3 linked regions of the Tribolium castaneum genome follow. The main gene of each other region encodes a partner of the protein of the gene in region 3 in a complex. Links are inferred from orthologs where the notes say so. Each region holds a gene or a part of one and is shown on either strand. Other genes may lie near its edges.

Evidence for each region.
Region 1: the proteins of IntS4 (region 3) and IntS9 are in contact, whole or in part, in a cryo-EM structure (PDB 7SN8), measured with the Drosophila melanogaster proteins. The link is inferred for Tribolium castaneum from reciprocal best matches to the Drosophila melanogaster genes IntS4 and IntS9. Residues at the interface, in NP_572488.1 of Drosophila melanogaster: Arg105, Leu108, Val112, Thr115, Asp116, Asp147, Thr148, Ser149, Lys153, Glu156, Gln193, Met196, Arg200, His231, Lys234, Gln264, Asp265, Ser266, Arg269, Tyr302; in NP_648838.3 of Drosophila melanogaster: Arg2, Arg23, Met88, Lys90, Met91, Asp93, Glu96, Asp98, Arg173, Lys176, Asp203, Leu205, Gly206, Gly500, Glu501, Ile502, Arg504, Val544, Lys545, Asp546.
Region 2: the proteins of IntS4 (region 3) and IntS11 are in contact, whole or in part, in a cryo-EM structure (PDB 7SN8), measured with the Drosophila melanogaster proteins. The link is inferred for Tribolium castaneum from reciprocal best matches to the Drosophila melanogaster genes IntS4 and IntS11. Residues at the interface, in NP_572488.1 of Drosophila melanogaster: Arg226, Ser227, Gly228, Gln233, Lys256, Phe259, Tyr260, Asp262, Ser263, Gln264, Lys299, Asp300, Asp301, Cys349, Leu351, Lys380, Lys381, Ile437, Glu441, Glu443, Phe444, Leu445, Glu446, Arg448, Asp471, Phe472, Asp475, Asn478, Glu480, Ile481; in NP_651721.1 of Drosophila melanogaster: Thr182, Pro183, Arg185, Gly188, Ala189, Trp191, Ile192, Asp193, Lys194, Arg196, Ile210, Arg211, Asp212, Ser213, Lys214, Arg215, Arg258, Asn287, Gln288, Lys289, Lys292, Thr293, Met299, Gln400, Asn404, Asn469, Ala470, Pro472, Pro473, Pro475.

What each region holds. Positions count from the first base shown.
Region 1 is NC_087399.1:2,708,040-2,712,321, forward strand, and holds IntS9 (integrator complex subunit 9), read right to left. Parts: upstream 2,926-4,282; 5' UTR 2,823-2,925; coding exon 2,814-2,822; intron 2,768-2,813; coding exon 2,576-2,767; intron 2,525-2,575; coding exon 2,120-2,524; intron 2,072-2,119; coding exon 1,511-2,071; intron 1,465-1,510; coding exon 1,362-1,464; intron 1,319-1,361; coding exon 921-1,318; intron 877-920; coding exon 727-876; intron 678-726; coding exon 558-677; 3' UTR 460-557; downstream 1-459. UniProt on the Drosophila melanogaster protein: Component of the integrator complex, a multiprotein complex that terminates RNA polymerase II (Pol II) transcription in the promoter-proximal region of genes.
Region 2 is NC_087396.1:21,614,291-21,618,371, reverse strand, and holds IntS11 (integrator complex subunit 11), read right to left. Parts: upstream 2,510-4,081; 5' UTR 2,379-2,509; coding exon 591-2,378; 3' UTR 575-590; downstream 1-574. Other genes in the region: gustatory receptor Gr103, read right to left, coding at 2,710-2,970, 3,019-3,867; Gr101 (gustatory receptor), read left to right, coding at 4,056-4,081. UniProt on the Drosophila melanogaster protein: RNA endonuclease component of the integrator complex, a multiprotein complex that terminates RNA polymerase II (Pol II) transcription in the promoter-proximal region of genes.
Region 3 is NC_087398.1:12,616,018-12,620,401, reverse strand, and holds the start of IntS4 (integrator complex subunit 4), read right to left. Parts: upstream 2,904-4,384; 5' UTR 2,817-2,903; coding exon 2,763-2,816; intron 2,710-2,762; coding exon 1,961-2,709; intron 1,907-1,960; coding exon 1,539-1,906; intron 1-1,538. Other genes in the region: neurotrophin receptor-interacting factor 1, read right to left, coding at 4,375-4,384. UniProt on the Drosophila melanogaster protein: Component of the integrator complex, a multiprotein complex that terminates RNA polymerase II (Pol II) transcription in the promoter-proximal region of genes.

The sequences.
Region 1 (4,282 bases), on a different chromosome or scaffold from region 3:
CACTGTATGACACGAAACCAGGCAGGGTGATTTTGCTTAAATACGTTAGACAGACCTTACAATGTTCAAGAAATGTGATTTGGCTGTCTTTTATCAGTCAATTTTGTACATACTTTATGAAGAAAGCTGTGAATTATTTGAATAAGTTTATTAAGCATTCCATGTGTTTTACTTTATCCAGAAATATCAAAAAACGTGCCTGTATTATTTAATATATACACTGTGTAAATTTCTCATAAGTTACTCTCGTGTGTAGTTTTTGATATATTTGTAATTACTTTTTTTTAAGACAATCAAGAGGTAAAGTGTGCGTTTGTTTCTTCCACCATATATACATGTCTGTAAAATATACTATATTTATTACTTTTTACTGTAATATTATCTCGTAAGCTGTTGTACAATTTACAATTGTAACTTTGTGTTTGATAAGTGCAGGGTGTTTGGAAAAACACGTGCAAGTATTAAATACAAGTATTTTCATCTTTGTCTACTTCTGCATACATATTATATACATGTGAAATACGATATTCAATGTAATAAATTGTTTAAACGCCTGACTAAAACTTCTTCAAACACTGCATAACGATACTGCGCAGCTTTGTCCTCAAAGTTTCGTCACCAGTGCACACCACGTGCGTACTATTGTCTTCCAACTGAATCAACGCGTCTTCCTCTTGCTTCAAAAAATCATAAAATAAATAATTAAACCGGTAAGTATGAACTTACCAAATGTATAACAACGACATTCCCATGCGACTCCACCTTCGGCTCACTAATCCCCTCCTGACTCAACTTTTGCAAAAAATCAGTCACATTCAAACTCCCCCACTCATACTTGACGTGTTTACTCGCCTTATTCACACTGGACGACAAATCCTTAAAAAATACCTACCAACTTTTTCCTTTATCATTTTTCTCACCTGTATGCTGTGCACGTTGTCTTTAATACTCAAAGTCCCCGTAATACTCGATAAACTAATCCCAGGCTTCACTTCCACCGGCACAATTTTTTGAGCAACTCCGGTTTCAATAAAAATCTGACTATGTTTCCGCTTCAAAGGCAAGTTAATCACTTCGCCCCATTTGTACGGAATTAATGTACGGTCGTGATTATTTTCAATAACATAGTCGGTCAGGTTTGGGGCCGAAACTGGGGGCTGAGTGTAGCATTCAGGGACCACAAGTGTGTTCGGTTTTAAGTCCCTGATGAGTTTGTTGGCTTGGGTGAAATTGAGCGAAGTGTCGATGGCACAGTGAGCCACTTTCATTTGCAGGGGCTGGTACGGGGCTAAGGCTTCGGTGTAGTCGAAATCAGGCTCTGCAAAAAAATTTTATTAACAAAAAATTTTAAATGTAATTACCTGTAAAAACAATGCAGTTCCTTGGGTTATTGCCCCACAACTCGATAAAACGTACAACATCGCCAAATCTTAAGGAGGGGTGCCCACAAAAAACAACACAGGGCTAAAAATAATTCAACTATTTTTGGCTACTAAATTTTAAAAAAAACCTCCTGGAAATCCGTGCTGAACCCGTCCGAGTAAACATGTTTAAAATGCTTAAGTTTGTTGTTTTTGACCAAAAGTCCGTGCGGGAACGGCTCTTCGGTCACATACACCTTGTTCTGTTTAACCGACGAAAGCCACTCGGCTAAAATATTAGAGTAGGCTAGGCTAGTATCAGCCACTGGAGACACGAAAAACATGGGACAGTTCGAAACGCCCAAATCTTGCATTTTCACCGACAAGCACTCAAATAAATCGTAGACAACTCCCGTGGGATAGCACGGGATTAAAACATTGCCTCCCCCACGTAGCGTGAGCCCCACCACCACGCACAAAACGCCCAACATCGAGTCCGGGTTACTGATGGGGGTTTGTGTGAGGTCTGTCATGATCAAGACATCGGCGTTTTTGAGGGAGTGGTGGTCCATGGGGCGGGGGTGGGTGGTGAGGGTGCTTGAGCCGCTCAAATAGACGATCTTTTCGTGGTCGGAGGTGATGATCCAGTTGGAGGAGCCGAGGCAAAAGCCGGAGCTTGAAGGCATCACTTTCAAAGCCCCGTAAACGTCCTGGCAAATATTTAGTTATTTATTGTTGCGGAATGAATCAAAAATTACAATTTTCTCGTTGTAGCCCACCATCTGTATGCGCGATAAACTCGCATTGACGTCGTTCATGTTGTAGAGTTGTTTCCAGGATTTGGGCTTGAAGGAGTCGCTCAAAGGATAGGGTAATTTATGAATGAGATTTTTCCACTGGGTTGCGAAACTGGCTTTGGGGCACTGGTCAATGTAATTAACGAGTTCCTCGAGTAGTAGTCGTCCGATTTGGAGAGTGGGCTCAGTGGCGTACACCCTACCTTGGAACCCAGTCCCTTCTGTGATAAATGGCAGTGCCATCATGCACAAATAATTCGAAATTAAGATAACGTCGACTTGGGCAAAATCTATGAGTTTGTTTAAAGGGGGGCAAAATTCCGGCGGTGAGTCGACAAAAATGCGGTCCCCATTCTCTTTCAATTCCTGAAATTTTCAACTTATTTTGCTACTTTACTCGATTTTAACTCTATCTACTCCTTCCAAATCTGAATCAGAGACGTCGTTTGGCATCCAGTTTGGTAAGTTTGATAATTTACTCGAGGCAACAAATGATAAAGGGAGGAAATTTAATACTGATTGCATGGAAAGACCGCAGTCCAACATTAAAGTTATTTCCTTGAAGGTAAGGATGTGACATGGCTTGTTCGGGTCGTTACTCAAACAGTACTAAAACGAAACGTTATTTGAGTTAATCTGCATTAAAATAACTCACTAATTTCATTTTAAAACTGTTTATAACCTAAAACGCCGACAAAAAACGAACATAACCATAGAATAAGAGAGAGGAACATAACTACAACTGTCTTAAAAAAATAATTGATATGCAACCCACATTCCACAAGCGATTGGGGACAAAAAACTTCACTTTGGTCTCTTAATTAATTAATAATTACTTTTTAATCTTTTTATCAATCGATAAGCCTTAATATGTAAAAAGTCAGTCGCAAATTGGGAACTCCCACTAATTCATAGTCCGAATAAATAATTTTCGTTGACTCTATTTTCAAAATGTTCCTGTTATCACTTTTACTGAAAATGGGCAAAATTCTAGCAATTGTGCCCTCTAAATCAAAAAAACTCGTAGTTCCCACGCTAGTTTTACTCTTTCTTACACTAAACGTTGCCCTTGCTACATTTTACAAAAAATCTGATTACATGAGTCTCATTCACATCAAACTTGTGATTGCTGTTTTAATGGACGCAACTTTGTTTATCTTTAATTGTTTAATTATTGTTGTGGCATCGTTTTGGAGACGCAAAACGTGGCTTCGCCTTAACAATGAACTGGGAAAAATTTGTTTATTTGCTCCCAAAAATTACTACACGAGCTTTGTTCTAACTTTTTTTATTTTTTGGACTGTTAGTGTTTACGACGCGTTTGTATGGACTGACGTAATGGGATTGGAATTTTTCAAGCAATATGGGATTGAAATAATACAGTCATACATGTTGTTTTACTATCAGTATTTATTGTATGTTGTTCTTGATATAATACTTCAAGGTTACAAAAATGTAGGTGTTATATTGTCCAAAAAACACGACTGTCAAATATTAAAAATTAAAAAAACACTTCGATTGTTAAAAAATACAACCGAGCATTTTAATAAAGTGTTTGGATGGCCGTTCCTTCTAATAATCGTGTACACAAGTTTGCAGATTCTTAACTACTTTGATGACAGTTTTGAAAGCGGATTTTTGTATGAGAAAAATGAGTATGATGAGGTCATCATTTCTAACGTCTGTTTCCTAATAATGACCACGGTAAATAATTTTTTTCTTTATAAACATTCACAAAACATCGAGTTTTTTAGGGCGGCACCATCGTATTAATATGGTTGTGTGACTCAGTTTTAGTAGAGGCAGAAAAACTCACAATTTTGGCACAAAAATTACACAGGAAAACTGTAATAAGAAATTACCAAATTATTATTTCAGACATGACCGCTAATTTTCCAAAATTTTACGTGGGCCGATTTGTAGTCATAACCAGGTCAACAGTTTACCACATTTTTAGCATTATTTTTACATATTTAATTGTGATGATTCAGTTTAAAGAAAAACTAGTTGTCAACGCTATGTAATTTTTAAATAAAAGTGATGTAAACCATGTTTTAATAACTTTTGGTCCATTGACAAAAATGGTGGATGCGCCGGGAAAGTTAAACATTTATTTCTACTACA
Region 2 (4,081 bases), on a different chromosome or scaffold from region 3:
AAGCGCGCCAACACAAAATTATTTTATACGAGGGTGGTTTAGAATTCGTGCGGCGGCATATAAGAGGGTCGTTTGGTTGTTTGAACTAATTTTTTCATTATACAAATTAAGAATAACGCAATTTCTCACTGATCCGTTTTCAAATTGTGCATATAAATTGCTTTTTTGATGTTAAGCGCTATTTAAGTGGCACCCAAAGTACGATTTAGTTTAAAACAAGTTTTAGAAAATTTTAAGTTGCACTTATTTTCGGTGCAATTCAATTTCAGAGCTTTATTTTATTTTAATTTTTATTCTTGGACACTCAAAATGTTTGGCATTTTTCAATACGAAACGTCAAATTATTTTTAACAGATTTAAAGCAATTTGTTGTATTCAACTCATTCTCACTCGTGGTTTAATAATCCACTCATGCCGATTTACACTCAAACTCGTTAAATAAATAACTATTAAGTCACTCCGCACTCTTTTTGACAGTGGGGGAATTTCTGATAGTCACCCCTAAAGTCGTACACAATAAATTGAAACAATTTCTTTTAAATTTTCGTGTATTGGGGGTAAATAAAACACCAAATCTCAACAAAAATAAATTATTGTCCCATTCGATTCAACAAATTCAATATATAACTGCCCAAATCCTCGTCCTGATTGGTCCACGAGACGTAGACGTTCTTTTGTTCGTCCTCATCGCCTTCAACCTTGACCAGAACCGACTCGATTGAAATCTCGCCTTCGGCGAACACCACCGGCCATTGTGGCAAATTCTCTTTAATGAAACCGTGTAATTTATGGGCCGTTGCTAACGCCGGCCCTGTATCATTCAAATGAACCGTTGACGAAAACCGAATTATATGCCTATTAATCCCAGCCTCCTTACACGCGTCGTCCACGTCCATCAAACACACATTGTTCTCCTTCATGACGAGCACTCCGTGCAGGGTGCGCCTCCGTTTGGGGTCCGGCGGCAAAGCGCTGAATTTCCTCGCTTCGGACTTGAGCAGCGGCAACGAAACATCGATTGGGATTTTGACCGGTGTTGAAATAACACAAGTCTCGCCATTGGCGGGGTTATAGCAGTTAATACTGAACTCTTGGAGGATTTTCTGCTTGAGAAACTCCATTTTCTCGGCCTCGCCGTGGACAAGCATAACGTTTCGAGGTTCGCAATGTTGGATCAGTTGCATGATGCCTTTGGCATCAGCATGTGCCGAGAAACTCATGTATTCAACGGACATTTTCACCTCCACGATTTGCTTATTTTCGAATTCGACTCGTTTCGCCCCATTCAGAATTTTATGGCCCACGGTGCCTTGGACACAAAAACCGGGCATTATGACCATGTTGTTCTCATTGGGGGCCCACTTTTTGAAGATTTGGAGGCTCAGCCCCGCGTGGAGCATCCCAGGTGTGGCGAAAACCACCATGGGGCCCGGATTATCAATATACGAACGGTCGAAAGGCTTGATGTGCTTGAAATCGAACATGTTACGTTGCACGAACGTTTTTCGGATTTTTTGATTCGTCCAAGTTATAAACATTTTGTAGTAGTTGTTCGCCTTTTCGGTGAGTCCTAGGGCAAAGTACACGGGGGCTTTGAGATTCATACGTTCCCAGTATGTCTCCAGAAGGATACAAAGTTCTTGGGCACGTCCTAATGCAAACACGGGGATTAGCACTTTGCCCCCACGGTCCATACACTCGTGGACTTTTTTCAAAAAGTCGCGTTCGCGACAACGTTTCGAATCTCGAATGGTAGTGGCGTATGTCGATTCGGAGATTAACAAATCGGGGCGACATTTATCAATCCAGGCAGCCCCCAGATGCCGGTCGGGGGTCATGTTGTAATCGCCGGTGTACACCACAGACTGGGCCCCCACGCGTATCCAGAACATGGCAGCCCCCAGGACATGTCCCGCATAATACGCTTTAATTTCAATCTCGTTGTCCACCATCAAAGACTGGTGTAAAGTCACAGCAATGACTTTCTTCATACAGTCTTTGATCATTTGGGACGTGAAAAAATTCTGGTCACCTTTTTTCTCAACTGAGACTTTTCGCATGTCTTCCAGGAGAATGGGGGCGATAGCTTTAGTGGGGTGAGTCATGTAGATGGGGCCTGAGTAACCCACCATTTCGGACATGTAGGGCAAAGCCCCGCAATGGTCCAGATGGAAATGGGAGATAATTACACAGTCGATGTAGGAGGTAAGGGGACCTTCTTGAGATATGTAGGAGAAGTCGGGGAAGCGGCGCTCGTCGTTGTACCCCATGTGCATGCCGCAGTCCAACATTATGTTTTTGCCCCCCATTGTGAGGAGGATGCAGCTGCGGCCCACGTCCTGGCCGGCCCCCAAAGGGGTTATCTTGATATCCGGCATTAGAGGGTTAAAAACACCAAAAAACTAAGCAGAGCATTTGAGGTTACGTTACGAGTAGGTCATTCAGTGGCGCAGGCAACGGATCTACCACAATTCATTTTTTACTTTTAACTCCAAAACATAATGTATTTATTAACTTATTCAACTGTACTTATTAGTGATAATAAAATTTTAATTGATTACAAAATTGTCTACAGTTTTTTCCACCCATTTTTTGTTTCATTTCAAGAATTAAACTAACGTCTGGTTCAATTGATCTACTATTAAATTCACTATCGACGTGAATTACTGGTTGCCTATGGCACTTTTTTGGAAAAACCAAAATTATATCTCAATTTCGATTAAGATTACCACATAGGTGGCAACTGCAGCAATCATCTAAAAGAAACCCTAAAAAAGTAAAAATCTTGTTGATTTTTACCAAATGCCCAAACGTCCAGTCTAGACTAAAAAAATCCATAGCCGTAAAGCGCACTTTGGTGTTGTAAAACCGAATGGAAATCAATTGAAGATAACGTACATTTCTGTCAAGTTTCCCTCTTTCCAAATACTTATTCCAAATATCGTGCAGATAGATTGCAGCTAAATTAGCCTGGAAACACTTTTAACGCAATCACTTGCCACAAATCTAACCGTTTACCGTATTTTGAGTCCTTGCAAATCCATCTATTACAAAACACAACCAAAAAAAATGCAAAACGCCAAACATGCAATTAAAACCGACATCTGTCCAAAAAGAAGGACTACCATGGACTAGAACATGCAGTGTGTAGTAACTACCATCAACCATGTACCCAAACCACATTCCCATCGCAGCCAATGTTGTGATTTCGAACAGTCTTGTGATTTTTTTGGTCAAATCGACCAAATTGTAATGAGAAAACGACAATTCTTGGACTCGTCGAATGTTCGTTTTAATATCCTCATCCTCTGTTTTGATTTGGTGGCGCAAATGGTGATTAATCGAACCAAATTTAGATGAAATAAAGTTGAGAATATCACACAAAAACATGTGATCAAAAATATTGATGAACAAAGGAATGAAGTAAAAAAAGGATAAATCAATCATAGAATTCGAAAACGGCACTAGTAAAATTAAGCCAACTATACCGGCGAAAAGCAAAATTTGTATGCAACTCAAGCGCGACTTTTCATTTGTTTGAAAAATTTCAATTTTGTCGGTTTGCTCAAGTAAAGTTTTGAGTCGCTTGCTCCTTTTGCGAAACATAACGAGTGATGTTAGCATTGATAAAACCGTTCCAACGGTTGATAGCAAGTCGAGGTAGTGGAATAGACCAGTGAATCCCAGAGTCATGTAATCGGAGGAAAATTTAACACTAGTATACAGAAAATACAGCTGCAAACAAACGTAAAGAACGGTGGGAGATATCTTTACGATTTTGTGTGAATTTTTGGGACAAAACTGGATGATTCCCAACGATCTGTACACAAATATCATGTAGTTTGGGAGTGTTTCAAACAAATACATTGTGATAAAGTAGGGGAACGTAACTTATTGATTCAAGTCTAGTTTATCCAACCACTCAAGTAAATTGTTCATAAATAACAACAATGCTGTATTGTTTCTATACCTTGTGAATTTTCTCCGCACTATCACATTTTCCGATTATAAAATTAACTTTTTTGAGTTAAATGATTCAAATATACTAGGTAACCATGTGCCAAATAAAAAACAAGTTATT
Region 3 (4,384 bases):
TAAAGTTTAAAAATGTTTTTTTTTCAAGCAACTTGATTTTTAATATTTAATATATAGGGTGGCCCACTGAAACCAATACACCCAAATTTTTAACGTTTGGAGTCACTTAACTCAAAACGCTAAGACAGTGCGATTTTATATCCAAGGGGGACACTTAAATATTTACTTTGTGTTCGTACCACTTCAACCCCCAAAGAGGGGCTGCCTGTAATTATATATTTTTTTAATGGAAACAGGGGTTAATTATGATGTTATTTTAAAATCTATTAAAACCTCTTTACAATAGGGAAAGTGCGGGCAAGACGGGGTACTTAACGTTTGAAGCTCTATAAAATTTTTGTATTATTAATTATCCTTGGTAATTAGTTTTTTGTGATTAATAAGTTTTATTTGGAACCTTTATTAAATATAAAAGTGAAACAAAGTAGAAAAAGTCCTTGTGGGTAAGATGGGGTACCCCTAATTTCAATTTCACTGTTGCTCTCGATTGATGGTCTAATCTTAAAATCTTTTTCTTTTTGAACACTCTTTTTATCAACCCCAGATTTTTCAGTTTTCCTTTAGCTCTGTAATTTTTATTCTTTTGCTTATTTTCCAAACTTTGTTATGGTTTAAGGTTTTTTATGAAGAGAGGAGTTTTACATATTACTGTTACGAGCAAGGTCTCAGCCCGTCTTGCCCTCTTACGGCAAATTGTGTTAGAAAATTAACTTCCAAAAACTATGTTGTCATCTACAAATAAATAGATGTTAACCTGTTAGAAAAATCATTGACATATGAATAACCATAAAAGCAATTTGAAATTTTGTTATTAACAAAACAGACACGTACTAAAGAAAGTGAAAAAAATCATAAGAAAATCGCCAAAAACAGGTTTTTTTCATAAAACTCGCAAAAGGCATGGTGGTATCGTTCAATTAAAAATCTACAATTAAAAGCTGTCTTAACTGGGCTTCGCCACGTACAAAAAATGATTATTAGTCAATTAGTTTATTATTTAAAGCTCATACCCCGTCTTGCCCGCACTTCCACCAAGTGTTATTTTTTTTATTTGGTATAAGTTTTCTAAAAATTTCTTTTTTTTAATTACAGTTTATTTATTAAATTATTTATTTGAATGTTCTAAATGGCCATAATTTTTTTAGTCTTTATGAACCCCATAAATTGTAAAAATCGAGTCCAAACATCGAAAACTTGGGTGAACTGTCTTCACTGAACCATCCTGTATATTTTCTATTTGTTTTCCTTAGGAACAGTTTCATTCATTGTTCTTTTATTCCCAATGATGTCAAATTTAATTTACTATCTAATTTGTGAGCTTATTAAATTTTTTAAATACCATAATACACTAATTGGCACATAATTGATGATTTTTTTTAACAGATATCTGCTTAATGATCAAAGAAATTAAAAAAAAATTGATCTAAAGTTCTTTACCACTACCTAAAAGTCCACAACTGTATTATTACCAATAAGTCAAAAAAAAGTAGATAATTGTAGATAAAAATTATGACACTCGGCTTTGCCTCGTCATTTACCCATAAACTCGTCCTCCAAGCCGTGCACGAAGGCCCCACACGCCCCACTGCTCATCAAATTGATGCTGTCAGCGTCGAGGATTTCCCTGGGGGCGTCATCGGCCCATTTTTTCCCACTCGCCCATTCTCCACTCGTTACATTTTCCCAAGCCAACTCATGAGCCGTCCTTTTGCGCCTCATATTAGACATTAATTTTTTATCAAGAGTTTGGTTGAGAAATTTCGCACTGACTTGTTTCATCGTTCCCAATAGTTTAGCCGCCAAGGTTCGAACATGGATTGATAAATCAGAAATCGAGTTGCAAACTTTACCGAAAGCGTCGTCTATGAGACGGATTTCGTGTTCACTTCCCGGAAGTACAACCTCACTGAAATTTTTTCAATTAAATGTAAATAGAAGAGAGGGTTTAGGCTAAGCCTACTTTTCCGGAAACGTGTTGCCCAAAAGACACACTAACTTGAGAACGACTTGACGGACAATTTCGTAGTCGTCCTTTAAGGCATCGCAAACATCTATATAAATGTCCGGATTTATTTTAAAATTGCGCTCATGTAGGGTGATAATCGTCGAAAAAGCCTGACTACGCACCCTGGCGTCGTCGTGGTTAAAGTACGAACTAATCAAAACCATTAATTTCTCCGCCTCTGCCCCCGTACAAACCGGCGTATGCACGCCAATGATCTCTAGACATTTCCTCTTGACAGCATGACTGACATCTTTCAAGTAACTTTTCGCCACTTCTACCAGTTTCTGATGCAAAGCGATGACATTATCAGAGACCAGCTTCCCTAATTTAAGCACGGTATTCATCCCCTGAGCGATAACTTTATGTGAATGGTCATTTTTAAGCAACAAAATCGTCTCGTCAATAATGGACACAACATCAGCGTTGGGTAGATGCCCAATGTCGCACAAAAGTGACAAAATTTTTACTCTAACGGCCGACTCTGGCTCATTCTTAAAATGATCGCTCAGTTTTTTAACTGCTTCGGGAATATCTGAAGCCTCAAGCTCGAAAGTATCAGAGACACGAAGCAAAGTTCGTAGGGCTTCGCTACTGCTTTTGCAACCTTCAAGACAACTAATAAGTGCCAAAGACGAGTTCCCGGTGCCTGTGGAAGGCTTCTTGACAAGTTTGAGTTTTTTAATCGGTTGGAAAGGAACAGTTTCCTGGAATATGTAAACATAACCTCATTTTGGACAAAGGGAAATTTAGCCCATACCTGGATTGTTTGGGTGAATTCGGCCAAAGCGCGTTTTTTCAACACTGCAGCCATCGTGTTTATGTGGTAATTAACCGATTTTAGCGTTTTTTAAACATTTTATTTTGTGATTGTTGTCAAATGTCAAAAAGTTACGCAACCGCCACCTGGTGACAATTACATAAAATTTGGTTTTTTGATTTTTTTTATTTATGAGCGGTAAAGGTATTAATTTACCGCATTTGTCGGTTTCTGGCATTAATTCTAAATTATTGTTTTGTCCAATTAGGTAATTAATGCTATTTTGTTGTTGGACCGAATGACGGTTTGTTTGTGCCAATGGCGTATCGTTTGGGATGGGTTTGGGGGTCGGGTTAAACTCATTTGTTTTAAATAATGTTTATTTGTAATAAATTCACAATTATATAATAAAGTTATAAAATGTAAATATATGAATCTAGGTATAAAAATACTTTATAAAATCAATAATAAAGAGGAGATAAAATCTGATATAACTATACATAACGTAATCTGAGTATAAAACATGTTCTATGGCGAATATAAACAAAAAAGTTTATATAAAGTGTCTGGATGTACATATTTTTCGTACGTATATGTAGTCTATTTGAGTATTGTCTTTCAGAGAGAACACAGTTGGAAAAAAGTTGGCAGTTATGGGCCAAAGAAGCAAGCAAAAAAAACTAAATTGAATGAGATCCAAAATAGAACAAAAAACATAATAATAATATAAATCCCTTTACCATGGCAAACTGTCATAAATAAGAATTACGAACATTTACAAAAAACATCAACAAATACTGATTATAATACAAAAATTAGTAAACAAGAGCATTAAGTATGATCGATTTACAAAACAATTGTAACATTACGTAAACATTTATAACATAGACAACAATTGTAAGATGGTAAGGATTAGAAAATAACAAATGACGCGACTCGGTCGCATTTGTACTCACATTTGTAATGTGTACAACAAATTATACTATTTAATCAATATACAATAAACATTTTTATTTTACAAAGTGAGTATTATAAGGTAAAAAGGTCATATAATGCCTTGACATATGGTAAACTGAAGTTTTTTCTTCCTAATCACTAAGCGCTAGCATTAAACTAAAAGCATCTGAAACTAAATTAAATGCTTCGTTGAAGCACTGCGGAGTAACCTAGAGCAGAGTGGAACGATAATACTTTTAATTATTAGGAAAAAAACTGAACAGAAAAAACAAACAATTGTAGATTCCACACTGCGAGTAACAAAGAAACTAATCATACGATAAATAAATTAAAAAATTCTAAATTTTATCAAGTACGCGATAATACAGAAATGGCAAGAAATTTTAGGCAGATTCGATAAAAAATAAATACACAAAAATTCCGATCTCTTTTGAAAATAAATTTCACATAATCACAGCACATGAGTACAATATAATAAAAAAATTAACAAAACAAAACAATGCTAGGAACAAAACTTGGCAAAGTAGCATCAAAAATGTGTTTTCGTTGCTGTTCATCGAGAGAAATTTGTGCGTTGGCGGAATGTCGCCGGCCGACGAATAAATAAATAAATAATTTAGGTACGAATGTGGACCATTCCGCCGCCCCCAGCAAGCTACCTCGAC